Drosophila melanogaster: one gene and its partners. Changing the gene in region 3 together with the main gene of any one other region gives a genetic interaction. Each region holds a gene or a part of one and is shown on either strand. Other genes may lie near its edges.

Region 1 (8,376 bases), on a different chromosome or scaffold from region 3:
TTCATCTACAACTACCTACTTATCGACTAACATATACGGTCTATCGATTGGTGGTTTACAAGAAAAGCAAAAAACCGAACGAAATGAACCCAAATGAAATGGAAATTCAAAAATAGGTTATCGAAATCGTAAGCAAGCGATATATAGGTCGATACTTAATCTGGATACCATTATATAATGCTTGACTAAAGTAGGTTCTCTACAAATTTACAATTTTATGTACAGATTTCGCTTAACGCGCTGCATTTTTAAATCAGATTCAATGGAACACAAGAAGGGCGTTTAAAAAGCCGGAATCCCGGGGACGTCGAATTTGCTTAGCCTACTTAGCACGCACCTGTAGATCGGGACCCATGCCCAGGTCGGCATTGGCCCATATGTTGTTGTCCTCGCGCAGCAGCGAGTTGGTCAGCTCTATGGATAGCCGCTTCTTGTAATCCTGCGGCTTGTCCTCACTCATGCGAAAGAGAACAGCGGCGGCGTATGTGGCCACGCCTTCATTGCGCGAGTGCAGGAGATCGGTCAGCGGCCCAGTGGCGCCCTCCTGCTCGATAATCTCGGCGCCCTCCTTGTCAGCGGCGAGCTCACAAAGAACGCCAGCAGCCACGCGCTAAAGTAAGAAAATATTCATAGTATACTTGAGTCACAACAAGATAAACTTCGATCTCACCTGTATGTTCTCGATTTCGTTGAACAGCAATCGTACAAAGATCGGTATTACCGACTGCTGGCGAATGAGTGCCCGGTTGTGAGACTCGCGGGCCAGGATATGTAGCGCCCCCACCGTGCCCTCGACAATCTCCTCCATGCGAACGCCGTCAGCGTATGCGGACGGCTGCTGTGAACCAGTGGTGGCTATCGAGGAACGTTGCTGCAAGGTTGCAAGTATAATTGACGTCATAATTATTCTCTCCAACTTATGCTTCCACTATAACTAACTCACCCTCTCTGTGTCTTGGAAGGCGCGCATAAGCAGTCGCACCAGATGGTGGATGGCCCCGTGCTCCCGCAACGGGGCGTGATTGGCCGGACAGAGGGCCAAATTGCGTATGAGTCCAATGACGGCCTTGATCAAGGGCCAGCGTGATGGTGGATGCAATAGCTTTACAATCACCGATAGTCCGTAGTTTAAGCGTACGGCATTCTGGGCCAACTCAGAGTCCACATGACGCGAGGTCAAGTGACGCAGGGCACATACAGCCGGCTCGGTAATCTCTTCGCGATCTCCAGCATTGATAATAGTACGGACGAGGGCGTCCACACCGCCCACCTGACAAACGGTGGCCTTGTTGCGCTGATTGTTGCACGTCAGATTTGAAAGGATACCGGCGGCACAGGTGACCACGTTGACATCGGTCGAGCCCAGAACCTGGACGAGAGATTGGAGCAAAGCTTCAAGGCCCTCCACCTTAGTGGCTGCATCCGAAAGATTGCGGAGCGTCCACAAACAGTTTTGCACAAGGCGCGGTGACATGTTACCCAAGTGCATAGCCAGCGCCTGCATTCCACCGGCATCCACGATGGCCGGCTTGTTGCTGGAGCAAACGGAGAGCACTTTCAGTACCCGCGAAGTGGTCCACAGAAGCTTCTCGTAGTCGTAGGAGCGCATAATGCGCACGAGTTCGTTGGGCCCTCCGGAGGCAAGAATTATTAACTTGCTCTCCTGGTTACCATAGGCCAGAATTTGCAAGCAATCTGTGACGATAGCCAGAAACTTAACGTTGTTTCGTTGCAGCAGAGTAACCATCTTCTGAAGCCCGCCGGCCAGGCGCACAGCCATCTTAGAGCCATCCTGGTGGAGCAGCAAATTGTGCAGAGTGGTAATTGCATAGAACAGCACACTCTCCACTGGCGAGGAGAGCAACTTGACGAGTGCCGGGATGCCGCCACTCTTGAAGATGGCCAGCAGACCCTGGCGATGGTGTGATAAGTTGTGCAGTGTTCCTACCGCTGCCTTGGTGCTCTCCAGATCGTTGCTGTTAGAGATGGCACGCACCAAAGCGGCTACCATCTGAGGGCTGTTCATAATGGCATGTCGCGAGGCCTCCTTCTTAGACAGCTGGTGGACCATCATGGCGGCCTGGGAAACTACCACCTGATCCTCATCGTTCAGCAGCTTGATCAACTCGGGTATGGCCCTGGTTGCCAGCTCAGCGTCGTCCTGGTAGTTGATCAGATTGACCACCGCGTGCTTTAGCATTTGTGACGGTTCCGAAAGACGTTGCACTGCCGTCGGCTGTTGGGGATCAAACTGGGTGGAGGGAATCTCAATGCCCTCCTCCAGGGTTTCCGGAAACATGGCAGCACGTACACGTTGGGAGCGTGTCTGGCTCAGTTGCTGGTTCATATCGTCCACTTGGTCTTGTGTGAAATTCTGCGGGAAACCGGTGTCCAGGTCGAACATAAGTGGATCTCCCTCCATCTCCTCGTCCTCCTTGCCAGACAGCGATGGAACCTGGGTCACGGCACCCGAGTGGATGCCGGAGTCGCCCAAGTACGAATTCTGCTGCCACATGAGGGTCTGCTCCTTGGCGGATACCATCGGCGGCAGATCAGGTGGATTGTATTGATTATTATGCGACACTGCAAAAGATTGATTGCAAAACGTTTTAGAGTGAATTGACAAAAATATACACTCCAACTTTTCTAACTCGAATCACCGATGTGTTTCGATCATTTCCATTGCAACTTAATCGTGTTATAAGACCCCAAAGAAGCAGAAATGAAGTGTAAGAATAATTTTTGTATGCTCTTCTTTAACTTGTTAACATCTGTCTACACATTCATGGTAACTTTTCTTTTTTAAAACCTTTTGAAGTGGAAAAACGACAGAGTAGAACGGAATACTGAGTGCAGCCCACCATCTACATATAATGCAACGAATTCGGGTGCGGGGATGCACACGCTTTAACCCTCTGCAACCCATTTGCATGCGCTTTCGTTAAAAGATGGCCAAATGGGAAACGACAGCGACTGACAGCAAAGTGAGCAGCATCCCAACAGCCGGCGCAAAAAATGCAAAAGGAAAACTTTGAAGCGTGACAAATTGAACGCTGCAGGATATTCCCAGAAAGTTCAGGGCGCTGGGCGGAATGGGTTTGGTGCAGGGGGTCAGATGCTCACACATGAGAGGGTACTGGCAAAAGGATTTGTGGGCGTTTTGTTTGCCACTTCAGTCTTAATTATGCCGTTCCAGGCCCAGCTTTTTGCCTTTGTTGTTTTACTTATGCGCGGACACAGCACGGCCACGCCCCTTCTGTATGCATTCGTAATTACAAACTTCACTGCTCTTCGCCATCCACTCTGCAATACTACAGTCAAATCTCAATAGATCGAACACGGTGCTGAATATAAATGACTCCATAAAAAGCAGCATTGAAACATGCTGGTAACCTATGGACCAGGTCTCCAAATGTGGTCTCTGAGTTCAACAAAATGGTTTAGCCCACAGCTGATGAATTTTGTTCGCTATAAGCACATGCGACTGTAATACTGTAATCGCTTTTCGTTTCATTTCCCAAATCGATTAAGCGTTTTTTCTTCGCCATATCCGTCGAGTGGGCCACGCACTTGAATGGAGTACTGTGTTGGGATGGAGGGCGCGGGCGGAGCCTTTAATTGCATGTTGCCGCTTACTAATTAAATTCTGCACAGCAGCAGCGCCAGAAAAAAGCAAAGGCAGAAGCCAAGAAAAATGTGCAGCCAACTCGACTGCGAGTTCGGGAGACGGGGTACGAGAACAAGGTCCCCGGAGAAGACCAAGGAGCGATGGCAAAAGGGTGGCGTGGGTTGGAGTGCCACGTGCAAGTACACGAGTCCTTGAATGTGTGTGTGCGTAAGTGGATAGCATGGGGAGGGAATGGAGTTTCAAAGGATAGTGAGCAGCGGCCTACTCAAGGGGGTTTCGGGGTTGTACAGCAATTAGTTGAAAACTAAACTAAATACTTAATAGTGGTCGAATTAAAAGGCCACTTCCTAAATGGCTATGAACTGTTCACTACTGTCGTCCTAGATATTGACATTCCTCGACTTTCTGTGGCAAAAGTGATGGGAGTTCAATGAAGCCAACATGCATTAACGAGCTCCTCCCCTTTGGTGAAGTCCTCTCCTGCGCCTCTGAGAGCCTCACCAACGCGCTCTGCAAATCAAGTGTCAAAAAGAAATCTTCTTTCCTACTCCGTTTACTGCGTCAGCGGAAAAGTGTAAATTTCAAACTCCGAAGTAGAAGGGAGCGCTTTTTTTTTTGATGAATCGGATATAAGCACAGGCCGCTGGTGGTTGATGGCCCAACAAAAAAAAGATCATCAAGCATTACAAGTATGTAGATGTACACAAATTATTTGTCTGGGGTGGATGGATATAGTTGTTACCCTGTATTCTGCAGACAACCCACAAAGGGAATATCAGAAACAAATGACAAAAGCAAATACTTTATGTCAAATTTGCCAAATTTGTCAAAAACAAGCATCGCTCCCTCATTTAACGTTGGAGAGGGGTTGTTATTGTATTGCGATACGGGGATAATTGTTTCACAGATACAATGCGCTGTTGCATCCCCTTCATAGGGCCATGTATTCTGACTATTTATCCTAAATGTTCTAAACTCTAGAGCTACCATGACTTAATTGCGTCCATTGAAACGCAATATCATCTCTAATTTGATGAAATCGGATCCTGTATACAACTGCATTTGGACTGGGTATACAAAAGCCCAAAGTGGAACACTCTGATACACAGTTAACTTTGATGCTCTTTGCATACTCCCTGGAAGATGGGAAAGGGAAGAGTACCGCTGCTGGAAATACTTACTGGTTCGATTCTGGGCTGGCATGTAACTCATCTTGGTGATTGAGGCGCTTTACACCACACCTGCAAGAAAGAGACGGAGAGTATATGAGTAATGTGCTGGACAGTCAATAACATGGAGTTCGTGTGTGCTTCGGATGGAGACCACGGAACTCCACTAAATGGGGGCCCCGGAAAGAAGGGCTTGTTGTGTTTGCAGACTGCCAACAGACGCAGATATCGTCCGTTAGTCACTTATTCTAGTCGTTGGTCTTTTTTTTTAACTCATTTCCGCTTTGAGATGCCGAAGCATAATATGAAATATGCTGCGTATACAAACAAACGCACTAATACATTCTTACGCAGGTAGAACGGGTATTTGTGGGTATGTGTGTGTCTACCTGCCGAAGACTTTGGCCACGAACCTTGAGTTATTTAATTACTTTGTTTAGCACTCTTTCAAATCTCATGCACTCCAACAAAAAACAAAATGGATTTTTCACTTCTCTCGAAAAAGGCGCAGCGGAAAATGCGACCGACCAGCACGCTCGTTTAAACGGAACAGAATCCAGATGCGGAGAGCGCAAGCAAAGCAAGGCACTTGCAACACCGCGCGTGCGGAGTGCGGGAAAGGGACAGGGAAAGAGACTGGGAGAGAAAGTAAAGGGCCGCGGCAGTGCAGCATACAAATGCAGTGCTGCGCAGAGTTGCCACACATCCAAACGATTGTGCCTACACACACATACTCGCGTAGGCAGCTCAGAAAGAATCCCAACTCCATTTCAGTTGTCGATTAGATAAAACACCTAACGATAAGCCTGCCTCTAGATTCGAAGAAAACGATTTCCTGTCTGTGGCATTGTTTACATTCCAGCGAGCAACAAAACAAGCGCCCGATTTACGGGGGAGGAATACATAAAAATGCCGTTTGTGTGTATCCAGATCATACACACACACATACACAGGCGCACATCCAGCGAACCCCTGCCCACCCCCGCGCCGACTTGTTTGCCATGGCTTTCCAACTTTCATGGCACACAGAAACTTTGGCTTTCCAAACGGATTCACTACCGACTAACAGTACTCACCGCGTCCAAGGAATTTAAGTCTGCTTTAGAGCAGGATTTATTTATTTAAAACGCTATAAGAAACAAAATAACAGCGAATTGTCTGCTCGAGAAAAACTGTGTATATGGCGACGAAACCCAACTAGCGATGGCCTGCTGCTGTCCCGATAACTCGATGGGCCCTGTGCGATAGGCCAAAGGAATTTTTCAAATTTTTTTTGTTCTGAGAACACAAAAATCTCACGAAATTTGTATAGCATTTCATCCTTAAGAAACTCAATTCACAATATTTATAATTTAGCTAAGGCGAATTTATTTCTAGTTCATGTTATCATGTTATCTCGAACTCACCGTTTATCTTGTATAAACATTTACCAACACAAGCACCTGAGTGTACATGAGGGTGTATGACAACACAGGTACGACCAAAAACTATTGTTTTTGGGCGACGAATTAAAGAAATATCTATGACTTTACTATTACTTACCGCTTCGAAAGTAAATTTATCTGCTCAAAGGCAGGTTAACGCACTTTTGACGCACTTAGATATTTAAATTCGACAAAAATCCCCGACTATGAAAACTGTGTATATGAGCGCAGAACAGATAACCGATAACTCCTCTATCGCAGGTGGCTGCCAACTTGCTTCAAAATAGAAAGCGCACTTTTTAAATTTCCAAAAGTATTCAAACACTGGTCTTTAATTTCTTAATACATATTTAAGTTGGGCAAGCAATATTGGTTTATGCAGTCGTAGAAGTGGGTTCATCGGTTATGGTCACAGCAGCTGGCGGCGGATCGCCGGCCTTCCGTTGATCCCTAAAGAACATGACCCACGCGCTCTTATGGATCTCTATTCCATCACATAGGCCATACACCTGGGCAAATCCGAAATAGGCAGCAACAGCGGCGACACCGAAGAGAGGTACCATTATGACTAGTCCTCCCAGGCAGGCGAAGAACACCATGGACACAATGGTCAGGAGTGTGCCTAAAACGAGTCGATAAGAACGTGATCTCTGGTAAACACTACGGAACGCACCTTCTAGCACCAGCAAACCTGTAAAGGTCATAACCATGGTGGCTATTCCAAACCCAAATATTATAAGGAAGGGCAGCATGAATACAAGACCACCAGCTAGCAGGCAGATAGCAACGTGCGGATTCCGGGTGCACCAGGCCGCGGTGGCCTCCAGGAAATCATTTCCACCTAGCTCGGACATCACAAAATCTGCCAGGCGGCAGATTTGAAGCCCTGCAATATGGCAACGTTATAACAAAGGCAACTTTTGTTACGCGGTGTGATGCATAAAACAGGTTAACAACCGTACAGAGTAGTACATATATAAGTAACTAATTGTGGCAGTAAGCAATTAAGCGCTTTTACAGATAGTACTTCAACTAGTGGACATACATGACCTGTAGAGAGTCTGGAGCAAGCTCTCCAGGAACTGGTCGCCAGTCAGAACTCCTGCACTACGATCGCCTGGGCCATGTATCTTTACGTGCTCCGGTTTGCTCTCTGTTCCCGATCCCGCAGACTTCTTGGCGTTTGCCTCTTTGGCTGCTTTGCGAGCCTTGTTCGAGTGAGCCTGCAGAGTCGATCAAATCAAATCAGTTATGAATATTATGTGAGTCAAAGAACCCAAGTGATTAGATGCCGGCTGCCACTGAGTCCGTGAAACGCGACCTTTGACTTGCGATGCCGATTCCAGCCGAAATCTACGGATTCTTCCGAAGATGCCGGAACACCCACTTCACTCACACCCGTACCCACCATGTTGCGTGGCTACTGCGAGAATCTCAGGCGGTTGCTGTGCGCATTACAGGAGGAGTCTGTTCCAGGTTCATTCGCCTGCTTGAAGCAACAGTAAATGAAAACAATATAAATAAACAAAAAATAATCGACGTCGTAGCCCTGAAACTAAATCATCGAGGGAGAGCTGCCACCTTTTTTTTTACTAAATTTGAATTAGACAAGATGCGTTTCTTAATAATGATCTAGCGTGGCTTAGTTTTGCTTTTTAATCATAATTAATTTGTTTACAAAAAAAAAATTAACACTATGTTAAAAAAAAAATTATAAATTTATAATGGCGGTCAGCGTGCGACATTTCTTCGCCGTAGGATTAGTGAAGCAGGAATCTGAGTCCGTTAAACGGAGGACGCGCCGTAATCCTCTCCGCCACCAAGCGCTCCCCGTGAACAGTCATGCCGCAGCGCACCTTCTTGGCATGCAGAAAGTTCAGATCGGCGGCTCGCTCTCCACTTTTGAGCGGCAACCAGCCGTACACCTGCGACTCCAGGAGCGGAACAGCTTTTCCGAGCTGCCTCTGACGCTCCACATGCTTCTCAGGCCAAGTGTGCCGTAGGTACCTCAAGGTATCCGTCGGCTGGCGTTGCTCATACTGGGCGTAGAACTTCCGTGTTAGCGGATGAACTGGAAGGCAGGAGAAGATATTATTAGCAGTAGTGAACAATTTTGTAAACTATTGTAAAACTTTCAATGATTAAAGTTTTATTT
Region 2 (8,328 bases), on a different chromosome or scaffold from region 3:
GCTGGCTGTTGGGCTGTTGGGCCCTGTCTCCGATGAGATCAGTTTCTCCAGAGCGGACAATGGAGCTCGGCATGGGAATGCTAATCAGAAGGGTAACGAGTGGGATCCGTGCTTGGGCACTGGGCACTTGGAACTGGGCACTTGAGTTTAATTAGCGTCGGAGGCTCACAGCTCGCCAGATGAATGGCGATGTGTGGACATGGCGGGTCGGAGTGGAGGAGCACATGGACGTCGCGTGGAGGCGAGAGAGCCTGCCGAGTGGGCGGAACGCGTCTGAAATCTCAATTCTGAAATCACAAATCCGCGGCCTCGCGTCAATTGGCGTAAAAATAGATTCGTCGGCGGGCGGCTCAGCGAAATTTCACAAGTGGAACGCCTTTGCCTCGAGGAAGCGCAATTGTGTGGCAGAATCGGGAAAGAACTAGATAATACCCACTATAGCAACTAGCCACTAGTCACTAGAATCATGCAACATCACAGCAAGTTTGCTGTGATGTTTTTGGGGGCGTTTTTGGATGCAATCGCAGTGACCCATTTGGAGCTGTGCTGTAATCATCTTATAGAGTTAAGAGATGATTCCACCAACCATGAGTAACGTGCGAGACTTCTATACAACATAAACGTGCCTGTGTATGTACTTTTTCATATTTACACATATGAAGCGCACTTTATTCTGAGGAGAATAATGAAATTAGCTCATATCAGCGATGTTGTTCAAGGTCGAAACTAAGTAATAAGCTACATACAAGTATGTATCTGTATAAACATTAAAAATTCCCCCGAGCCTTAACTACTCACATGAGGAACCAAAAACGATATTTGAAAATGAGGCACTGCAAATAATATGTATGTAGTTTTTACAGCTTTTCCGCGAAACCTAACTAGTTTGCTTTGGAGTCACGTTGCCGCCAGTTGAAAGCAGTTTCGATTCACAAGTGGACATTCCAGAACCAAGTCACATGCGAAGTTCCCTGGAATGTGCTATTACGAATGAGATGTGATACTATACTGACTGCGAATCCAAGCCAGTGGAAGAGTGGAGTTCCCGATCTCAGGACTCTCACTCCGGCGGAATAGCTAATCACGCCCCTTTGTGCCAGGGGCCACTAATTACCATGTTTCCTGGTAACGTCAATCTGACGCACTTAAGTGCGGAAAATCAATGAACATTAATGACCCGGTCCCTTTATTAATAAATTGTAAGTGGGCCAATTGACTGACGACTGAACGCGACTTTGAAATTCAGGCAATGAAAGGTCTAGGAATAGCAGTACACTGTGCGGAGTTTCGAATACCACTTAGAAAGTGATTTTGAAGTTGGAAAACCGAATGAAATATTCACCATTTAAGCTAGTTTCTATGAATAAATGAGCGCTTGCAGCAACAGATAAAAGTTCATTGACTTTGATTTATTTATGAATGAAATATTCATAATGCATAGGCTTTTTAATTAGAATAATAACATTAAATCGCAGGCAGTAATTTCTTCCGGTGTAGGAACCACCTCTATTCGCAAATGCAAGCACTTTTTTTTTGGGTGTGTCGGGGGGCGGTGGGAGGTGGGCGGTGGCAGGGGGCGTGGAACGAACAGGTATTTTCGGTTTAGTTGTTACGAAATAAGTGGCGAAAATTGACGTGCCGAAAGCGAAGGCAAAAAACCAAAACAAACAAACACGAAAACTCAGGCAAATGCGCCGTACGCTTTGCATTGTTTTTTCGCCCACTTTTTATGGATCGAATTTAACGACAATCTTTGGCCTTTTGTTGCTTTAATTGCCCTAGCTGTCCGCACTCACCTTTGCTGGACTTTTCGCGCAGTGCAGCTGCCTCGAAGGAGCCCAATGCCTGCATTATTTCGCGGTCGCCACTTTCCTTGCGGTCAATCGATTTTTCAGAGCGCCCCGAAAAGTCCAAGTGCAGCAGTGTAACGAATTCGCAGCTTTCGTTCGCTTTTCCGTGCATTTCGGAATTTGCACTAATTGGTAGGATTCCCCGGGGAATCGAATCCGTCACTTTTAATCCTGTTTGCTGTTCTTTTCGCACTCGCTTTTGTTTTTGCAATGCAGGCTCCTGCACTTGCGGTACACACACATACCAGCAGCTGCTACGGCCGCCGCTGCACACACACACACGCACAGCGGGCAAACGGGCATCTCTCTAGCTCTACCCGTCTCGCTTCAACCCACTGCCGCGCGCATTTTCACATTTCCCGCATTTGTTGCTACTTCGCTTGATTTATTCGGCGTTCATCTGGGCGTTCCGTTTTCACTTTCGCCTGGCTGGGGCAACAACAAGCTCGCGATCGAGTATCTCAGCTCGGCCGTCCGCTGCGAACGAGTATCTGAGTAGCTGAGTAACTGAGTATCTGAGCGTGAGTATCTGTATCCGAGTGTCTCGCGGAATCGGAATCAACACAAACAGCTGTTAGGGCTGCGATGGCAAGAATCGATAGCTTAGCGATAGGAAATCGATAGTTTGGGATTTAAAAATTGAACAAACAAAATCGTTTATTAACTTGATTTGGGAAATCAAACAGGTGTAATTCATACATCAGCGCAGTCTCCTGGCCTCGCGTTCAGTTTCCAGCAGCGACAGGATGTCGCCCACGCGAACAGGTCCTTTGACATTCCGAATAATCTGGCGGCTTTGGTCGCCGAGGAACTCCACCCGCACCTGGGTGCACTGCCCTTGGGATCCAGTGCGTCCAAGGATCTCGACCACGCGAGCGTACTGAGGCTTGTCCATGCTGAATACGAAATTCGAGAATTGTTCGACAATAAAAGATTTGAATTTGAAGCTGTGAGTGCTGCTGCCTTTCCAGTCGATGAAAATAGAAAACCTATCTACCCTTCTATCATCCCTGGCGCCACCTGTAGGCCTTGTAGCGCAACATAAGTGCGGACGCGAACCACAAGGTGACCCCAAGTCGAGCTGCCACCTTTCGCAGTGTTGGCAATCCAGTTGGCATCCCCGAGGCGAGCTATCGAACCAGTTCGATTTCGAACCACGCAACTCTAGCATGTAATCGTTCGTCTCGCCGTCTAACATTTGTGTCGAACTACATTTTGTTTTGCCATTCAATAAATCTATTATTTACCACTGAATAAGCGGCGCCACGGAGCCCTAAAAGAGTGTGCGCGTTCCGGAGACTCGGCGCACAGCGGCCCGCAGCGATACGTCCATGAAAATCGAACGGCAACAGCAGCAGCACCCACAACCAGCGGAGGCAACAGCAACAAAATACACAAAATAAAGAAGCAGCAGACGGAAAAGTGCACAAATGGTGCAGAACTGAGTGGAAAGGCCACCGAGCACAGATTTCTCACAGTGCAGGAGCCCGGAGACGCCGAAATGCTCTAGAGGGCGGCGCTTCAGCACGATTTTCTCCCCGCGGAGAGCCCAAAGTTGCCAGCGGACGAGGATGACTGCTCCTGGCGAAGCATTAAGTTAAGAGACATACAGCCATTGTTTACAGCAGGCAGCTCAGACACCGGGATAGGATAGGATAGGATATGCCCTCGGGCCAGCCCACTTGAGTTGAGGAGAGCAGAGGAGAGGATCGGGATCCGTGCGCGAGGAGAGGATCTGCAGCCTTGTTTAGCATTTAGTCCGGTCATCGTGCCAGCGCCTTGTTAACCACACTCTCTTGTTTACGTTTGCTTGTTTGTTGAACTCCACAAATCGTCCTTCCATTAATTGTTAGTCACGCGTCCCTCTCGTTGAGCACACTAATCAAAATGAAAGCATCCTCGTCGATATCGAAATTGAAGTTGAAATTGAAATCGAAATTGAAAGCTAAGTTGCAATTGAAATCGAAGCGTCCAGCCGTTAAAGCTACAATCAAATTACACCCGTCCAAACCCACCTCGTCATCGCCATTGCCATCGTCACCGCCATCGAAGATTGGAGCCAGGGCCGTCAGGACTGCGCCAGGATCAGTCGTCTGCCATCCCAATTGAGTGAAGCCGAGGATACACGAATCTAAGGGTGAGTACTGCTCTTGGAATTCCCATGCACAATCCATAACTAATGCTATTACTTTCTTACGCAGTTTGTGGATTATTGGATTTGCACAACTTACTTAAGGACTAATATTAATACTTTAAGAAAGGCACAACATAAGTCTGATTAATGATCTAGTTGTATCAAGGGAAATGATTGGAATTAGACAATTTATTCACGTCTAACTAATATCTCAAATATTAATAGTAATTTGAATGATCCTTTGTAAGAAATGTGAGCATATATTTTGCAATAATAGTAACTTTATGAAATGTATATTTCATTAAATCGAAGGATGATACCTGATCATTGAAAAAGTCATTTAGAACGCCATGCAAATTCTAATCATCCAACTAAAATATTGCTCAATTAATTAGTTTGCAGCACATTTAATTTATTTCTGAGGTGTATGTGCCAATGGGATCCCATAGAAACTGTATATATCTTTTAACTTCATTAACAAATCAATTAATTAACAAAACAGTAAAACATAATTATATTATCATCCTGCATTCATATCCATAATATACAATGTTACCTATTTAACAATTTACACATCCTCTTCTTTCAGGTACTGAATGTACTGCATCAACTGTAATATAAGCTACGTAAATAGGAATTTATGCGAATAAGAGTAATTAAGTGAAGCGTGTAGTTAAACATTTCTACAAACCGGACATAAAAAGATTCAACCATCTTAAAGGACTTGCAGCGCTATGGATTGATATGTTCTCAAGCGTTGGCCATTTCTCACTTGAGTTTAATCGGTTAGTGTTCTATCACCCTTTATATTCAAAGCATTCTTTAGATTTATTTAGGCGTTTATTGGATGCACCCGTGCGCGAAATATTTTCTCCCCCACAAATCCAATATGTATGGCTTATTGAAAAAAAGGAGGCACTTGGGTGGTTGCTACTGATTGATTTAAAGTTCGCTGTGTTGAAAACTAATTCGATTTGGGCTCTGAAATGTAAATTTATTTAAGCTGAGCCAAAAATAATATTTATACAATTTTATCTCTATTAAAATACCTTCCAATTTTATCTTTGATGCAATATTTATGACTGGCATATAAAAAAGTTTTTTTGTTTAATTTATTTATGGTATTTGTATTATGTTTTGGTTTGAATGATTATTTATGAGATGCACGAGACTAAAGATTTTTCTTAAAATTATTTTCATTGTTTTGGACTTACTTTCTTGGCGAACAAAAATATACCCAATGGCCAAATCTCTTTTCTCCCAATTGATAATTGATAATATCCTTATGTATAAAGCTTGCCTATTATATATACATATTTTATATACATTTATTTATATATATGTATATTTAAAACAGAGTAAAAGTGTTCATAATTTTTTTAACTATCCCATAATGCTTGGTAAGGCTAGAAACATTAGTCTTCAGATAAAACTTTAACTTTAACATATAACATAAATTTATACCAAATGGATAACAATGGCTCTAATCTTTTTTTTTTCCAAACTCTTAACTATATGTTTACAACCTTAGTCTTTCGAACAAATATTTTAGTATTATATATTGTCTTAGCTTATTTCAAAATGATTTCAATTGATCTAATCTTTTCTTCATTTCACTATTCTTTCAGGAACAACTGGAACCATTCGGAATACCAATATCTTCCCCTGATTTCATGTTGAATTTTTTATGCAAATTACATATGTGAGTATACAACTTATTTTTACTTTGTCAATGGTTTTGAAGTTTAAGACAACTACGATTGCATGCGAGAATCTCAGAAATATAAACTAGTATGAAAAACTGATTTACATTGATATACTTAGGTCCTTTTCCATTTCTCGAAACCTAATAATCATGACATCCTGAAGGGTTTTAATAAATCCTTTTTAATTGGTTATTATTCGGAAACTACCTTTTCACTCAATTGAAAAATCCTCTTAGTGCAATAAGGATACCATGATTTCACTATTGTTTATTGGGCTGCAGCACTCTGATTAAGGAATTGAATAAGTTTCCGTTGTCTCGGAGAGGAGCAACAGTTGACCGCGCCCAAGTGCATCCTTCGGGTCCTTCGGTGTCCTTGTAATGGGCGTTGCACCTGAAAAGTAGGCGCTTCCGCGCTGAACTTTTCCGCCTGTGCTGGCAACTTTTGCCGCGCACAAAGTGCCACTATTGACCTTCGGCAATACTCGCAGCCGCAGTGAGTAGTGCCCGTGTTTCCCCCAGTTTGCCGGGCCAGACCATGCCGGCGTGGAGTCTAGACCGCCATCAGACGCCGTTCATCGGGCGGTTGGTTGAGCAATGGCGGTCTTAACCTCATTAGAAACAAACGAGGCTGCCGCCGGTCGCTCCTCCCTTCGTATTGTTTTCAAACTTATTCGAAAATAATTTCCACATTTGTGTTTAGGGGAGGAATCGGACTCCGGAGGTGGGTCTTCCATCTCAACCCTTGCCCCACCCCTCGGCTTTCAGGAAGGACTACAATGCGAACCCAACTCCGCTGCTCTGTTTATGTACAATAAGAACGGGCGGGCGTCTGGTCCTTCCTTTGCCTTGCCACTCTGGCAGTGGGCCAGGATTTGGTCTGGGCTTGGGCAGCAGGGCATAGAATGGGGGGACCAGGGTCTGGGGACTCAATCTGGACCTGCGCATATTGGTTGCACACAATGACTCCTATTCGCCTGCTGCCGTCTCGCTTGCTCCGCCGCAACCACGGACACTCTGAAAAGAACATCCTTTGTGTGCTGTTGTACAATGTACATGGAGCATCATCATGTTGGAGGTCGTCCCAGCACCGCCACTCGCACTCCTGCTCCTCCGCAGGGCAGTCCATCAACAGCTGGTCGGGATATTCAAGGGGCAGTAGTCCTCCACTAAGAAAAAATCCTCGAAATGGTTGTATTCGTTCTTAAAACACAAACATGTATAGTGAGTTTCAGAATCAAAGTGCAGTCCAGTACAGAAAGCTTAAGTTTGTTTGAGGGTCTCAGATTGTTCAATTGCTCGTAAATAAACTATTTTTAAGTGATAAAGCAACTTTTAAGCTGTATACATTCGTAACTAGCTTACCAAAAAGTAAGCCATTGTTCGTTTTTCAGTTTTACAAGTTGCGATATAGATACAATCTGGCTTATAGAACTCAAGAGCTCTAATCGTTGATTGATAATGGTGAAGTAAGAATATTTACAATTTGTATATTCCAGTATCGTGTTGAATTGATTACAACCCACTTTCTCAATCCCAAATAGTTAGGTATTGAAGTACTAGATTTTTCCCTGAGTGTCGATGTGCTCACCGATTAAGTTCGATTTCCGTACATAAACGACGTAAGCGCCATACTCGCTGTCCGCATGCAACAATTGTGAATGGAAGAGGCTGTGGGTGGGTGCGCACGATGATGAGGATCAAGCGGAGGATGCGGCAGTGGAGGACTGGCCAGGAAGCGCAACCCCGAAATGGTTTATGTACTCTGGCTGCTCGGCATGGGCGCACATACGTGGCTGGCAGGGTGAAATCTGCCATCGCTGTCAACGCTGGAGGAGGATTCGGATTCATAATCGCAGCTCGGGACGCGGGCACTCGTTCAGTTTGACTTTCCGCTTGTCAAGGCATTGTCACCGAATCCCTGTGCTCCGTGGCTCGTGGCGAGATTTGTCAACAATTAGTGGCGATAGTAATCCGAAAAGTCGCGCGGATCCGAAGTGAGCAACCTGTCGCGGCATTGTGGATGCATCAAAGGTGATTTAGTGTCATGCGTTGGGCCGCAGCATACCTGCGGTATTGAGATCCTTCGGTTGAAAGGAAACTAAGCCAAATCCTTCGAGGGCTCCTGGCACTGGGCACCTGGGCAACCGTTCGCAGGGAAACCCTGGGCAGAGCAGTAGCTGTAGCCTCCGGCATGCGACTGGATGGGAAGCCCTCATCTCACGCTAGACTTACCTGCCAATCATCGGAACTCATAACTTGAAAAGAATGGAAAGAATTATCCGGCGAGGCGTACGCAATCTAATAGGGATAGAAAAATCATCATCATCATCTGCCCTCGAGAGGGTCTGCTCATATTTCATTGTTGTTCCTCGGCTCAACATTCGCTCGCAGCAAAATCAATAAGGATTTATTTAATTATTTCATAATTTCCGTTCAACTGCATCCGCACAACAATGAAACAAACTAGTTGCTGCCAGTTGCTTCGCCGGGGGTTGAACTTTAACTCCGAGTGCCTTCAATTTGTAATCCATTCGTTTATCGGGCGAGACCATGTCTTCATGGCTTCCAAAAACAGTTTACACGATTCTCAATAGGATTGTTTTGGGCTTTAGATAGTAGCCATTCACCGGCGGCAC
Region 3 (8,264 bases):
TGTACTCTTTTTAGTTGTGAACCTTACCATTTTAATGTTTTATGTATGTACACAAATTACAAATACGTATTTTTAATTTACTGTTTTTCTAGTTTTAATAGATTAGTTGTTTATGTTAGATGTGTGCTTTACGTTTTGTATGTTAGTGATTAAATGAAATAATATAAAAGTGAAATGCAATAAAAAGAAGAGAAGAGTAATATTTTGAAAATTTTGTGCAATACCTCCCGAATCCGTTGTCGATCTGTCTTTTTTTCGCTTTTTCTTTTTTGACACGTAACCATAGTTATCTCGTGCGCTCCACCCCGGATACAATTCCATATGCAATTGGCGCTCTTGTCGAGCTTTTTCGTAATATTTGCTTTGTTCTTCGCGGGAAAGTTCGTGCCACTACAAAAGTATTATTAATAAGTTAATCCATTAGAAGTACGATTGATATTTTCTATACTTTATCTAAACATCGTAAATTTCTACCCTGTTATGATTTTAATATTAAATATTTGTCGTCCTCTCGAAAAGGGTAATTTTACAATCCCCACAACTTTTCTAATCGGAAAGAATTGGAATCTAACCTAACAAATACAAAATAAAAATTTTTTTAAATATCTTACCCGTCTTCCTAAAATCTGATTAATCGCAGCCGATTCCTTCAGAGTGCATTCAGCAACAACCTTAGCACGCATTTCCTTCATATAGAGCATGAACGCATTTAGTGGCTTCTTAATATGGGGTTTTTTTTTATCATTTGTTGTCTCCTTGGATTCATTTGATTGCGCATTTGATGTGTGCTTTGCTTCCAGGTTCCTAAAAGATAAAACAAAATGATAATTGTAATTCATTCTTCCCTGTGTTATAAAACTAAACAATGCGTTTTTAATCAATATTTTAAAAGTGCTTTGCTTGGTAGTTAATAACACATGGTTTACTTTAATCCGTTAAACATGGTATAAAACTTTTATTTTTTACAAAAATGTATATGTTATAAGTTACTAAATCTTTACATGCTTTTAACTACCCACGATAACTCAACACTCACTTTAAATACCTTTGTTTCTGAAAAAACTACGTTGACACTTATTTCCAAGAATGCTGAGAAGACATGCGGAAGTATACACTTGTAAAAATATACAATCTTCGTTTAGTAGTTCAGCTAACATAAAGGGAAAAGTATCGCTTTCTAACAATGGTTTGGAAAAGCTTGCATATGCTATTGTATAATGGCATTTTTTTTAATGAACAGAATACAATCTGTTATTCGTAACTCAGCTTAAAAGTGCGGGGAAGGTTGAAGGTTAACCACTACTCCTACTTGGCGGTTAAATTTATTGCACTCTGGGATGAGAAAAAATTAAAAGGGTTTCGGTCGTTAGAGTAAGTGAAATTCGCGACATTCATACGTGATCCTGATACAAATATGCTCTTCACTGAATTTAGTAAGACCATTTATTTTCCGCTCGATAATATATACGTTCATACGGAAAGAAAGACGGACAAACGGAAATGGTTATATAGACTCTGATTCAATCCTGCACAAGACGGTTCTTATATACTTTGGAAACGCTTCCTCCAGACTGTTAAATACTATGCAACAAAAATATAAAATATATACATATATTTAAATATATATATCACTTTTTAAATAAATTGGCAGTTATCAAAACCTTTCAAATATAAGCGTATAAGTATTGTAGAGCGGGAAAAATCAAAAGACTACACATTGAACATTCCACATAAACAGAAAAAAATGTTTTAAATAAAACAAAAAAAAAACTTTAAAAACTCGAAACCAATTTATTATAACTTACAACATTTTTTGTATAATTTACAACTACAGGCTGCTTGCAATAATCAACAGTTCATTAAAGAAAATAGGTACTATTAGGAGTGAGCATCGACTTCAACAGTTTTACAAAGAAATAAAGGGTTTAACCAAGTAAGGCGAAATAAAATTACATGTGTTTTGTCTTGCTTCCAATACTTAAGTCGTATGGGGCATCTATCATTGGAAAAATTTCAGTTTTCATTGATCCGGCATTTCCCTGTAAAGCGCATAGGCGCTCTTTAAACAGGTTAGTTATGGAAAGTTCCTGCGCTGTTAAAGATGCATTAGCCGAAGACAATGTCTTAGTAATTAAATGGGAAACATTTTCAGTTGGCAATGCTCTAATTGATGGCGACGTTTTCAGCTGATTAGTGATTTCGTTGTCAACATTTCCCCTTATTGCATTCGATTTAAAAGAATTTGTAGTCAGAGTTTCAATGTGCCTTGCAAGTCTTTGTTTTCTTCGGTTTTGACTTAGCCCGAAAATTCCAGAAACCATTCCAGTAGAGCATCCACTATTACTACCAGTCGATGGGGTTGAAGGTGCAGTAGAAAACTCAGGAACAAGTAGAGGATCGGTAACGATTGACTCAGCTGAACTTTCTCGATTGTAATTAAACACAATAGGCAATTGCGTTGTGACATTATAATTTTCTGTAACATCTGTTAAATTTGATGCAGATGTAAGCAAGCGAGAGGTTTCAATGTTAGAAGATGAAGACAATGAAGCATATTCTAAAATAATCTCAGCTGCAGTGCTACAAGGCTCTACGTCTTTTTTGTGGCGAAAGGTTTGCCTTGTCGAATGCCATATGCAAGTGGGTGCTGAATTTGATTCTTCGCAATCGCTTTTAACACTATCACTGTAGGATTCATGAGGGGTGCTAGCAGAGCTGGATTGATGCATATTAACAGATGATGCGAGTTGTAATATTATATCTTCTATTTCGACCAACGTTTTAGGTTTTGCTGAGGTCAAAAAAAAATCGGACTCACTTTCAACATCTGGAATCTTAGAGTGCACTGCATTTGTTTTCTGTGGCAAAATACTTTCATTAGACAGTGCTATAGCAGCTAATGCCATGATAGTATGTGTTGGTGTAGATGTATATTCACCATCTTCCTCTGATGGGAGTCCTAATCGTTGTAAGCTGCGAACATAATAGAGCTCAGCGCTGCTCCATTGATTATATAATCGTTTTACCTCTTCCAGTAAGTTTTCAATAGACTTGCGATTTCCATTTAGTTGTCGTCTTACACTTTCCTCAAGGGCTGAATTAGAGCCATTATTTACTTCAATGTGACTTTGACGTACACTTAACCTTTTCCTAAATTTACCTGAGCTATCTGAGAGATTATCTAGTTTTTTTTTAATGTCGATAAGAATGTTTTTTTGCTCCCTGATAAAATCACACGTGTGTTGTAAGTCGTACCCATCTAGGGCTTCCTTGTTCGATTTTAATTTTGGTGAGTAACAATTTTTGTCGTCTTGTTTATTTTTTTGTTCTGCTCTTTGATGAACGTTAGAAAATTCAAACAAAGGGGGATCTACACAACTTATGCTGTTTTCGATATCTTTAATTAACTTAATATTGTTATTATTATCCTGCGAAGATGGGGTTGACAGAAGCTCATCTTCTCGAAGCATGGTCTTTTTAGATCCCGAATAATGAACCATGTTGAATTTATTCGAATGAAATTCCCGTTCAGCTAGCTGAGACCGAAGAAGCCGAGCGTATAAAAGTTGTGTGGCCAAAAGCTGCTGCTGCGAGCATGGCTGCTGATTTAGCATACTATTCGTATATATACAAGAAAACATTTCATTTCGTTGGCGAAAACTGTCATTTTGCCAATTTTCTATTTCTTCAGCGGTTTGCCAAGGCTGAGAAATTAATTTATTCGGACTTAAAAGAAGTTCGGAAAACGATGCCTCCATTCCGTCTGATCTACTTGATGGTACAATACAAACTTTATCCAAATCATTGCAGTTATATTGTTCTATTTTGTTGGCAGTTAATTGCGTATATTGGTTATTGAACCCACCATCAGGGACCTGGCTCGTTTTCAAATTGATTGAACATTTTTTATCGTGCTTTTTTTGTAGATCCTCATTGCTCTTCTTTTTCTGGTAACTGATTAATTCGTTTGAGTTTAAATTAATTTCACTATTAGTTGTTCCACAGTGTGGCATTATCGGATTTTGTGGGAGCCTGCTGTTAAAATCCGTTCGGTGTTAGTCATTCGTTAACTTTTTGTTTTATATTTTATTTATATTATTTATTGGATAAATTGTATTTCAAAATTTTAAACATTTCTATTAACCTTTAGAATCTTAGTTCACCTTGATGACTCAAATTTAATTAAATTAGTACTTTTTCAAGCACCATTGTACAACTTTTCAACATTTCATACAGGGTTCGTTGTTTATAAAATTTTCTTGCAATATTAATGAGATTTAGATAGCGTAATATTTATGTTATAATCCAGAATCCATGCGTTGTTTTCATTTTTTTAATTATATAGAAATCTCATTTTAATTAACGTTACCCTGTTGCTCGACTGTTGCAATATGAGGTCGTAATTTTTTTTTGTTTTATTTGTTTGTTAATTGTAATTTCCACATTGTGTTAGAGGAAGCCACAATTGTTTTACTTATTTAGTTCACTGTTAATATGGTCAATAATCGGTTTATATACTATCTCCATTTATTCCGACATATTTATATTACTAAATCGATCAACACTATATTAGTATTATTATGGAAACAAAAGATGACATCCTATTTTTAAAACTTATATTTAATTTATAAATACACTTTATATGTAAACACTCGATTTCATCATACACTTCGTGTTATTATTCTACTTGTGTTCTAATGGACAAATCGAATAAAGATTATTTTTTTCATTTGTGTTCATAAATTGTTCTTTCCGGAAATTGTTCAACTATTTTTAGGCATTGATTCCTTTAGATAGATTTTTCGCAAAATTGTATATACTGCCACAACAATTGTCTGATTTACTCTCTTTCGGTCTTTAAAAATAAAACTTAACGATAAAGGTGTACGACGCGGAACAAGAGAGACAAGGACGAGCCATCGGCTCGAAAATAACTGCGTGAGAAACATTGCGCACAAACTTTGTATCGAGCACATGTTTGTAACGAATTTGTAAAAAAAAAGTAATAGATACTATTAAATTTGTTTTTTTTTTCATTCTTAATTCATTCTTAAGAAATAATAAAGTTGTTTAATCTGTATTTTAAAAATATGTACTTCTGTGTAATGTGAATTTTACTGCTGCGTAAATTTACATTTTTACAAGTAAAATCGCAAAATGATGTATTTTTACAAATATTTTACATGAAAATATTCATAGCATCCAATGTTGGTACGACTCTTTTCAAATTTGACTTTAATTTACATTTTTTCTATACGTAATTCCAGATTAAAAGTAACCCATTTTTTAATTTTATTCATATTTTGTGTATGTATGTTAAATTTTTTGGATTTTACCTGGCAACATAACACGTGCAAAACTCAAGTGCCTTCAGATATAGATGGCGCCATGTAATTTCAAATCATATCTACGAATATATATATTTATATATATATGTATGGGCTTCAACAACGGAATACAGTAAACTAAACAATATTATATTAAGCTTGAGTTAAATTTAAATTTTCTAGACCACCTTAACTTAAAGCAAATAATTTAACATTTTGATTTAAAAAATATTATCAAAATATTTTTTATAAATTAGTACTTGAAAATTACATTTTTCGAGGATATATATTAGAAATTTATTTATTCACTGAAAACGGTTGAAAAAATCGGTTGATTCTAAATTAAAGATGTGTAAAACTTCTTATCACTAATCTTAATTGGCCAATTCAACTGTTTACTTGCTCATAATTATGTTCGTTAGTATTAATATGTCTTCGAAGAAAGTTTATTTTCGGTTGTCAACAAAAAATATATTTGTATATATATATATAAATATTTTTCGCTTTTCACAAAGAAGTTTTTTAGACAAATAAAAAACCTACTTTAATACATTTTAAATCCATGCATTTTAAAAAAGGCCTCTAAAGTCCAGTGACTCGACCTAAGAAAAAAGCAAGAGAGAATGCTATAATCGAGTTCCCCGACTATCAGGTACCCGTTACTCAGCTAGTGTGAATGTGAAATTTCATAATTTTTCTGGGATGTCAATAGATATTGAGGAGTAAAATGAAAAAAAATTTTAAAATTGTTCCAAGGCGTGGGAGTGACTGGTTCGGCGGCTTTAGAGCGTTAAAGTGAGCGTGACAAAAATTGAAAATCGATAGAAATTTACAAGACTAATAAATCTAAATAAAATAAAAAAAATATCAACACGTTTTTCAAAAGTGTGGGCGTGGAAGTTTTGTGCGGCTTGTGGGCGTGGCAACATGAGTCAACAATGTGGCGCTGCGTCTTGGTCTCTAGGATCTGTACGGTGAATATCAACCTACTAGCTTTTATAGTAAACAACAATTAAAATAGAAGTATGCAACAGCTAGATGGAAGCCTTTACGATATATATTCTCTTAGTATATATATTTAGTATATATATACATTTAGAATAGATATATTTAGTATATATATATATATATTTAGTACATATATATTTAGTATATATATATTTACTATATATATATATTTACTATATATATATTTAGTATATATATATAGAATACATGTTCCTGATCACTAGCAGAGTAGTTCCGGGAACTAACAAACCTAGAAATGTTAGGTTTCGAAATCATAATAGTTACACTTTTTGTTGAAATTAACATATATATTTATATATATTTTATATTTAGGATATAATTTTTGCAAGGATACAAACAAATGTTACATTTTCAGAAAATATATCTCAACAAATTTTACAAATATGTGTTATGTACTCAAAGTTTAAAAAAGGCTGACGACAGAGGTTTAAAACCGTTATGGATGTTTTTAAAAAATTAATATTAATAATATTTAATAATTTCAAAATTGTATACAAACTAGGTAAAGAAACCGTGCCAAAAAACAGTAAAAACAACCTTTATCAGCACATATAGAATATTCCGTAGCTTGACCTTTTTAAAAACTGTAGTCGATCTTTTCCTACGAAACTTGCGTATTTTTTAAAAAGTAAGCTTAAGCAGTTGAATGAAATAAAAGCGAGATGATTAAAGTTAAGATTTAGTAGGAGAGACATGCACACACACTTTAGATTTAACGTTTCGATCAAGTTGGAATCGAACATTCTAAGTAGTATTTTAAGAACTACACATTGAAACTATGCAAGCGTATGTCGAAAATGAGAATGTTACAATGTTTTTCATCTTTGGGTGTGAACAATATTTTTTAAATAAAATAGGTAAGATTACATTTTTAGAAGTGAATATAATATAGAAGTGAAAATTTTGGGTAGTTGAGCCCAGAATCTTAAAAATGTCGTAAATGTCGTAAGTAAATGAAATACGAAATCAACTAAAAGACTATGATCCGATTTATGTCACTTCGCTCTTGATTTACATTTATTGCTTAAAGCATTTTCAGACAAAGGTAACAACGATGGAAAGAGCTTCACTCAAATTATATTTTAAGGCCTTATCTTAAAGTATAAAAGTAACTTGCTTAGGATGAGTTGTTTTCAGAAGGCAAATAAAATGTATAGCATAATATAATAAAAAAAAAACTGTACTTTATTTTTAAATTGTATATTAAAACAACATTATTTTTATGCTAGTTCAGTTTAAGTAACAAAAGTTTATGTACATTTTTGAAATTATAAGAGCCAGAACTTTAAAAGAAAGGGGTAATAAAATTCGAAATTCATTTTAGGGGTTGGTCCTAACTGCGCAGGCGCTATATCCATGAGAGGACCAATGAGAGAGTTTATATATAGTTAGAGGTCTGTCTATTCGTACCTTATGTGTGCATATGTATTGAAGAAAGCCATTGGTAAATTAAAGATGGCGGATGTAATATTCCCACCCACCAAATAAAAACTTTAAAGCGCAGTAATTAAAAAAAATTCGATACAAAAAACTAAATCATGAATGGTCTTATATAATTTTAACCGAATAAATTGGGTATGCCTAACAATCGGTTAAATAATTAAAATGTTCTTAAAGTACCCGTTTTAAATGTGCGTACACATTGGACATTATAAACAATTTTTTTTAATTTTAATTAATTTTTTTAATTTGTAAGTAGCTTACCTTGGATATCTATTATTCGTTGTTGGGTCCTGAACACCGCATTCTTGTTTAGAGCTAACCCCCACAATAGCAGAATGAGCATTTATAACGTGGTGCGATGTGGCATGTACTGAAGGTAAAAGGCTAGGTGAAAAACGGAATGGAAAATCACTGCAAGTAAAGTGTAAAAAATAGGTATTCTATTCTATTATATGGAAATGTAAC
Region 4 (8,324 bases), on a different chromosome or scaffold from region 3:
TGTACATTTTCTAGATGTCAAAACATACCCCCAGCGTTTCCATCGAATATCTCATTCAGTTTTTGAGTCTTGCTAAATTCATACGTTTTCATTCGTTTCGTTTTCTATAGTTATTTGAATAAAAACATCAAAATTTTTCAAAAAAAAAAAAAAACAGTATCAAAATTTTGTCCAAGTCCGTATTGCTTCTTTTTGTTCTCCCATTTTGTGTGAACCATCTAGAAGAAAGTAAAGTAAAAACGGTGGCCCTGTGAAAATTGTTTTGATATATGAGAAGAGTACGATAACGAATTCAGAAAAAAACATTGCGAAAAGAAAGAGGAAGTAGTGAAACAGGCGCCAAACCCAGTAAGAAATACATCCCATCTTGAAATTAGTACAGAATTATAATTTCTCTCATTGATATTTGCGTTGCCTATCCAGCTTTCATTGTTTCTTTCAATAAATCGATAATCAATAGCAACCCTGTTTTGTACATGCGTATTAACAAACACATTTTTTTTTTGCAGTTACCAATCGAGAAGCCAAAATGACTGAGAGCATTGTGTGTCACAAGTGCCAGGAGGCCATCACCAAGCGTATGATCACCGCCCTGGGCAAGACGTGGCACCCGGAGCACTTCCTGTGCCACCACTGCGATGAGCAGATCCTGGATGCCACCTTCAATGTTCAGAGCGGAGAACCAGTGTGCAACAAGTGCTTCGTGGAGCGGTACACCTACACCTGTGCCGGCTGCAAGAAGCCGATCCTTGAAAAAACCATCTGCGCCATGGGGGAGAGCTGGCACGAAGATTGCTTTTGCTGCGGCGGTGCCTGCAAAAAGCCGCTCGCCAATCAAACGTTCTATGAGCGCGACGGCAAGCCCTATTGCAAAAAGGATTACGAGGACCTCTTTGCTGCCAGGTGCGCCAAGTGCGAGAAGCCTATAACGGACTCAGCGGTGCTCGCCATGAACGTGAAGTGGCATCGCGATTGCTTCCGGTGCAACAAGTGCGAGAATCCTATAACCTCGCAGACTTTCACCATCGACGGGGACAAGCCCGTGTGCCCCGCCTGCAATTGCTAACATCGTCCCGGATAACCATGGTGCATCCTTGCTCTTCCTCCAAATTGTTCATTTGCTTGCTTACAATAATGTTGAAATAGTTCCCGAAGCTTAGTAAGCCTAGAGGCATGCAAGAAAACAGACTTACACATTTAACACACAAACTTAATACACACACAAACACTAAATAAAAATAAAAAACAAATATGTTAAGTCTCTGTATTGGGGTAGACAGGTATACCCTAAGATTTGCCTTAGTGGTGTTGGTCACCCAAAATAACATTCTGATTACTGTGAGATAAGGTCGAGCAAGCCCTTTCCAATATGTTGCAGCCTTTCGTTAAATAACAAGCTTTTGGCAGCACTTTAAATAATGAATTATTTAATTTTAAAAACAAAAATTGAAGAGCTTTAAAAAATCTTTCCGTTAAGATCGCAGTACAACTGCCTTATCGATTCTTCTCGATATGAAGTGGTGGCCGTCTCTTGGCGTAGTCACGAATCGGTTACGCAGATGTGTAATCTAGATAAATATGGAATTAATACAAAAAAATTAAGAACAAGATAGAATTTTACATACGAGTTCCCCGACTATCAGATAACGGTTACTCAGCTGGTGTGAATGCAAAAGCGAAATTTAATAATTTTTCTGGGATATCGATAGAAAAAAATGAGTAAAAATTGTTTAAAAATGTGGGCGTTACTGTTTTGGGAGTTTTTAAGGTGAAAGGAGTGGCGTGTCCACAGTGCTTTTGGTATACATATAAAAATTGCCAAGACAAACAATAAAACGAAGAAAAATCTAAACATTTTTCAAAAGTGCGTGGCAGTTTTTGGCTTTAGGGCGTTTGAGTGGGCGTGGCAGAAAGTTTTTTTTGGCAAATCGATAGGAATTTCCAAGACTAATAAAAATATCAACAGTTTTCAAAAGTGTAGGCGTAGCAATTTAGTGCGGTTTTAGGGCGTGGCAAAAAGTTATGGAATTATGAAGAAATAATTTTCAAAATTTCTAAAATGTTAGCGTAGCAGTTATGGGCGGTTTTACGGCGTTAGAGTAGACGTGGCAAAAAGTTTTTTTGCAAATTGATAAAAAATGAAATGTAAAAAAATATCAAGACTTTTTTAAAAGTGTGGGAGTGGCCGTTTTTTGCGGCTTGTGGGCGTGGCAGCATGGGCCAACAAACTTGCGCTGCATCGTTGTCTCTAGAATTTGTATGCTGAATCTCATACGAACAGACGGGCATGGCTAGATCGACTCGGCAATTGATCCTGATCAAGAATATATATACTTTGTATGTTCGGAAACGCTTCCTTCTGCCTGTTACATACTTTTTAACGAATCTAGTATACCCTTATTATACCCGTTATTGCTTGTTGTTGTGCTCCCATTTTGTGTGAAACATCTAATAGAAAGTAAAGTAACAACGGTGGCCCTGTGACAACTGTTTTGATATATGAGAACAGTACAATTACGAACTAGGAAAAACACACTGCGAAAAGAGGAAGTAGTGAAACAGGCGACAAACCCAGTAAGAAATACACCCAATCTTAAAATAAGTACAGAATTATAATTTGTCTCATTAATATTTGCGTTGCCCAGTGTTTATCGTTCCATAGCCATCTTCCGTTGTTTCTTTCAATAAAATAATCGATAGCTGCCCTGTTTTGTACATTTTGTATTTTAACCTCAATTTACGATATATACGAGCAATTCAATCAAAAAAGAGTAATTGAACAATCCCTTGGTAATGCGCATTAAAAATCATTTTTTATTAGCAGTTACCAATCGAGAAGCCAAAATGACTGAGAGCATTGTGTGTCACAAGTGCCAGGAGGCCATCACCAAGCGTATGATCACCGCCCTGGGCAAGACGTGGCACCCGGAGCACTTCCTGTGCCACCACTGCGATGAGCAGATCCTGGATGCCACCTTCAATGTTCAGAGCGGAGAACCAGTGTGCAACAAGTGCTTCGTGGAGCGGTACACCTACACCTGTGCCGGCTGCAAGAAGCCGATCCTTGAAAAAACCATCTGCGCCATGGGGGAGAGGTGGCACGAAGCTTGCTTTTGCTGCGGCGGTGCCTGCAAGAAGCCGCTCGCCAGTCAAACGTTCTATGAGCGCGACGGCAAGCCCTATTGCAAACAGGATTACGAGAACCTCTTTGCTGCCAGGTGCGCCAAGTGCGAGAAGCCTATAACGGACTCAGCGGTGCTCGCCATGAACGTGAAGTGGCATCGCAATTGCTTCCAGTGCAACAAATGCGAGAATCCTATAACCTCGCAGACTTTTACCATCGACGGGGACAAGCCCGTGTGCCCCGCCTGCAATTGCTAACATCGTCCCGGACCCATGATCTTACTCCAAATTGTTTAGTTCCTTTCTTACACTAATGTTGAAATAGTTCCCGATGCTTATGAAGCCTAGAGGCATGAAAGAAATCAGACCCACACATTTGACCACACTTAACATTTCGCACACGCACACACTAAATAAAAATAAATATGTAAAGTCTCTGTATTGGGGTGGCCAGGTAAACCCTTTTATCGTTAAGATTTGCCTAAGACCAACAACACCCACAACAACATACTGATTACTGCGAGATAAACTAGAACGCAAGCCCTTTCCCAATTTTGAGTAAATATTTTCCCCAAACCCAGTGAAAAGAAGCTGTCGAGGAAAGTGTGCTTGATATGAGATCATGTTTCCAAGGGTAAATATGCTACCCAGCCTTGGAACATGCACATCTGATTATCTCATAAACGCCATTAGTCGGTGGAATTATGTTGTTTGGAGGAGGGGTATCCCAGCAGTGCAGCGGAAAATGGAAAACTCTGCGAGGGTGTGCTGACGTGCCGTCATCGTGGAAAATTCATACATTCGGGTAAAATACACGAAGCGGCTTCGTTAGTCAAGTTTTCGTTACGATTTTGTGGGCTCTGCGGCTTTGGAGTTGCCGGCTGCCGGTTTCAGTTTCATTTTTCAAACGGAGCTCGTGCAAAGCGGTTCGGTTGGTCTTTAAGCGATTTTCCACAAACCAAAAAGTATTTCCGCGGAAAAGCTGCCCGAAAACGGGAAAAGAGAGGTGGCTAATTAATTACACTGTTGAAACTGTCCCATAAATAATTGCCGTTTGAGTCGAACAATTAAGGAGTCTGTAAAAAGCTGCAGCAGCTGCAAGCCTCCATAAATCGTGTCTATCAAAATCAAGATCGTGGTTTACGTATGTTGCGAACTTTGAAATTTATTTGCGATCTATGGCCAGATTTTCCAGATTCGGATTTTCCAAATGCAGCCAATATCCTCACGTCTAGTGGCACTGACAACTCAATACAGTATATCGTGTAGATTGGCATCAGATAATTGTGATTTAGCCGTGCGTGTTGAAGTGGAATTAGTTTACTCAATTTGCAACTTCAAGTAATTGCAGTTTATTGAGGAAAATATTTTAATATATTAAAGCTGAAGTGGCGGGATAACAGATTAGCTATAAATATATATATATATACATATATGTATGTATGCAAAGACACATCTTTGATAGTAAAACACTAAGTGTGGGTGGTCTGAGCGTTTATTCTAATTGATAATTATTTTAATTAATACAAAAGATATCTAATCTTGTACTTCTACATTTTAAATGCCTGTTAAGGTCTTTCGTGCTTGCGTTTGCTCAGGTGGAGGCAGAGCTTATAAAAATGTTAATCTTACAAATTATAAAATGTGGGATTAATTGGAAAATGTTTTATTTTGATTACCTAGGTGACAGAAAATTAATTGTTAGCATATGCAAATGTCAGTCGCGATGTGAATTTGCATTTTACGAATGTGTCTACAAGCGATCAGGTCTAAAAACTCAATCAATGGGATCAATTAGGGTTTGTAATACTTGCTATTGCTGACTGTGTTGGATCAAAAAGAACATCACGCACACCTTTAAAGCGGCTGTCATTCCAGAACCTTTTTTCGTGGAAATGGAATCCAAGCCAGGCTCTAAGCTTCCAGGCCAAATTTATTGACGCTACTCTGGCATTCTTTTTCAATTCGTAGATGTCTGTGAACGAAAAAATAACTTACAAGCCGATGGCACTGGAAAAGGTCCAAGCCTAAGTCAATAATATCATCGAATTATTCTATTTGGTTTTTATTCACAGCTCATTATACCAATACTCATATATAAAATACCATTTAAAGTTAGGGGAAAGATTGAAAAAGTAGCAATAATTCGATGAAACCAAATGAAGCAACATTTTTTTTTATTGTGTAAGCCATAATATTTTTAAACACGACACATTAAAAAATTTTTTTTTACATTTCTGTATTCATTAAATCTTTGCAATGCAAAATGTTCTTCATTATGATAAAGCAATGCAAAAGGCAAACATTTGATTAAAATTAAGCTCCCAGTACGCATTCTTAGAATCTTTTTTTGTCGCAGTGCAGTTAAAAAACAGTCGGGGCAGTCACTGGCACTGAAGAACCTCCACAGTCGTACTTTGACTCTTGCGGTCGTCGGATGTTTGTAAGTTTGCCGGCTTCGCATAAGTTTTATATGGAAATTGCCATTTTTGGCGTTTCGAGCAACAGGACGGCTATAGACGCACCTTAAAAGTCCACCCGGATCGGCTGGGTCGCGCTTAACCTTTAATGGGGAAACGCCATGGCCCGAGCCTTTGAGAGCCCCTCCAGTTGGCAACCGGTTGGCTTCCAGTGAATGTCTCTGAGTTTCTGTGTGTGTCTGCTGCAAAAGCCTCTTTGTGTCAAGTCGTATGTTATTAGCATCCGCCAACTGAGCTCCCAGTGTGTCAAAAGATTTGAACTTTAAAGTGCTCAGGTGCTGAAGAGGCCCACAGACGAAAAGTAGACAGCAGACACTTGGACTGCCAGTCAGTCAGTCAGTCAGTCAGTTAGTCGGTCTCTCGGTCTTTGAATACACTGCGAATAAAACTGTGATAATCGCACATTTGGCCATGCTATCGGAAACTATCTTTAGAAAATGTGCTTTATTTCAAGCAAATGTGATTGCAATGATTAAGAAAAACGGATAGAAGAGTGTTGTACTAAGTACCAAAATACCGAAATTACTTAAAGCAAATCCCATTTACCAATAAATTGAAATGATCCAAATTCAATGAGTTTCAGCTTCAGTTTACACAGTTTTTCCCATTCGACTTTTCGGCCAGTGTTTGTGAATTGCTTATCACGTTGTTTGACTTTGAGCTCGTTTGAATTATGCGTGCTATCTTCCATTGCCATTCCCCTGGCCAGCGGGTAGTTCACGCCGCAATTGTCTCTTTCGGGTTCTTTTTATCACACCTGCCGTGCACCGCTGGATACCACACATATGCCGTCCATCCATCCGCACTGGAGCGATGTGGAGTGGAGTACCTAGAGTACTCTGTGGGGTATGGAGTAGGTAGAGTACTCGCACGTCCACAAACTTTTTTTGCCTTTTCCTTGACACGTCCTCGTTGAGCGTTGCTTGGTACTTGCATAGAATTAGTTATCGTAACTAGTTCTATTGTTTTTCGTATTCAAAATTCATCAGGGTTTTCGGCAGTTGGTTAGGAAGTTTAGAAATCTTAATAAATTAGCATTACCACTGTATACAAAACTCTGGTAATTTTAAGCCCGAAACTGTCTCAAAAACCATTCAACTTTTTGACTTAAGGCAGCCAGAGCAAATTGTGAAGTAAACCCACATTGTTTGCCCAAATAATTTAATTAAATTATTCCACTTAAAAACCGATTGAGCAAACTGAAAGCCATTCGACATGGAGTGAATCGGCAAAAAGAACAATTAATAATGATAAGAGCAACAAATAGCACGCACCCGAGGCGCTCGACTTTTAAAATTTAGAATTAGAAAAATATAAAACAAAAAACAGAAAGCAACGCCAATAAGCCTCTCACCTGGCGCTGGCCAAAAATAGCAACCGAAGACCATTTAATAACAATATCAATATGCGAAACAAATTCAAAGCTCATTTTGAATTGCAATAATCAGAATTCGTAGACCGCGCGGCTCTTGAGAATTTTGTGCGGAATTAATTGAGTGATAAATTAGATTGCTTAAATGACAAACGGGAGCGTGGGCGCCGCTATCAATAAAAATAATTAGCAGTCATACCCTTTCAGTGGGTACATTGATGTTTACGAAAACTCATTTTGAAATAAAAAAAATTAATTTTCCAAATTGTTATTTTGGTAAACCTAAACCTCTGTTACTTGTTTTCAAAAGCTTACGTTCTGCACCAAAAACGAAAAACTATTAATGTTCGTGGTCTAAATATCCGCAAAACTCATTGTTATTTTTTCATATTTTCTGCTCTGGTTTTCGCACATTAATTGATAAATGCTACTTATCAATTTGTGGCAAAAGTAATTAAGCTTGTGACGGAATCGAACGTGGCTAATTGGATACAGCATTGGAAAAGAATACCATCACAGAGAAAAAAAACACGGAACATAAAAAATCAAACAAATAGCGACAATTTGTAGAGAAAACCCATTAAAAGCGACGTTCACTATGTGTAAATATGTAATGTGCGTCTACGAGTGAGCGAAAATTGCCGACTGATAACTGACTTTTTGAAAAAGTAACCACGATGGAGTCAACTACTATTGTTTTTGTGACTCTGCTCACAATTATAACCCAACGTAAACACTGTGCGGGTAAGTGAGCTACAAACAATTTAAGGATGGCAAAAATGTTAAGCTTTATTACTCAATGTGGTCGATTGGGTGATTTATCGATCCATTTCAATTTGAATTTAGGCAGCTTGGGAAACAAGAATAGTCGAAACAATTAACACCTTTTATAACTGACTACTGTGACAAGGCTTTGCCAAAATGGATTTTTTAACTTGAAACTAGTTAAATGTTTTATTAATTGGGTATTGGAGTCGTCGGTCAATGTATATCAACTTATATGTAGTAAAGCACGTTAACCCCTTTTTCTCCTGTTTCTGTGGCAAATGGGAATCTCGCAAAAGGCAATTACCCTCATTTCCATAGAGTGCCAGTGAACGAATCTCCCAGATAACCTTAACACCAATATATGCACAGTGGGAATGCAACCGAAGATATGATGTTTCCATTAGAGGTGTAATAAAGTGCAATCTCCTTTTATGACTTTTTTAGGTTGTTGTGCTCAAAGACGCACTGCTTAGCTCCTAATTATAGGCCCATTGCGTTCCACGCGACCAGCAAGGCTCTTATTTTTATTCGCCTGGCACAGGTGTGAACTGACGTCTTGACAAGTTGGTAAGCGATATGTG

The links.
Region 1: of pan (region 3) and arm, changing one suppresses a phenotype caused by changing the other (phenotypic suppression), as found in Drosophila melanogaster (6 studies listed by BioGRID).
Region 2: of pan (region 3) and Axn, changing one suppresses a phenotype caused by changing the other (phenotypic suppression), as found in Drosophila melanogaster (2 studies listed by BioGRID).
Region 4: of pan (region 3) and Ret, changing one suppresses a phenotype caused by changing the other (phenotypic suppression), as found in Drosophila melanogaster (one study listed by BioGRID).

The regions. Positions count from the first base shown.
Region 1 is NC_004354.4:1,894,171-1,902,546, forward strand, and holds the start of arm (armadillo), read right to left. Parts: upstream 6,477-8,376; 5' UTR 6,340-6,476; intron 6,004-6,339; exon of another isoform or gene 5,874-6,003; intron 5,441-5,873; exon of another isoform or gene 5,134-5,440; intron 4,870-5,133; 5' UTR 4,841-4,869; coding exon 4,810-4,840; intron 2,584-4,809; coding exon 944-2,583; intron 872-943; coding exon 671-871; intron 611-670; coding exon 338-610; intron 1-337. Other genes in the region: Ldaf1 (lipid droplet assembly factor 1), read right to left, coding at 6,596-6,843, 6,895-7,107, 7,267-7,444, 7,543-7,632; CG32801 (uncharacterized protein), read right to left, coding at 7,982-8,292. UniProt on the Drosophila melanogaster protein: Isoform neural may associate with CadN and participate in the transmission of developmental information. Can associate with alpha-catenin.
Region 2 is NT_033777.3:30,019,854-30,028,181, forward strand, and holds the start of Axn (axin), read left to right. Parts: upstream 1-2,988; 5' UTR 2,989-3,987; intron 3,988-4,573; 5' UTR 4,574-4,769; intron 4,770-5,612; 5' UTR 5,613-5,686; intron 5,687-6,364; exon of another isoform or gene 6,365-7,019; intron 7,020-7,507; exon of another isoform or gene 7,508-7,723; intron 7,724-8,328. Other genes in the region: RpS28a (ribosomal protein S28a), read right to left, coding at 2,551-2,745.
Region 3 is NC_004353.4:86,963-95,226, reverse strand, and holds the start of pan (pangolin), read right to left. Parts: upstream 4,873-8,264; 5' UTR 4,014-4,872; coding exon 1,954-4,013; intron 805-1,953; coding exon 612-804; intron 391-611; coding exon 225-390; intron 1-224. UniProt on the Drosophila melanogaster protein: Segment polarity protein. Functions together with arm to transduce the Wingless (Wg) signal in embryos and in developing adult tissues.
Region 4 is NT_033779.5:21,194,458-21,202,781, reverse strand, and holds the start of Ret (Ret oncogene), read left to right. Parts: upstream 1-4,019; 5' UTR 4,020-4,129; intron 4,130-7,285; 5' UTR 7,286-7,652; coding exon 7,653-7,719; intron 7,720-8,324. Other genes in the region: CG31988 (uncharacterized protein), read left to right, coding at 530-1,066; CG31624 (uncharacterized protein), read left to right, coding at 2,845-3,381.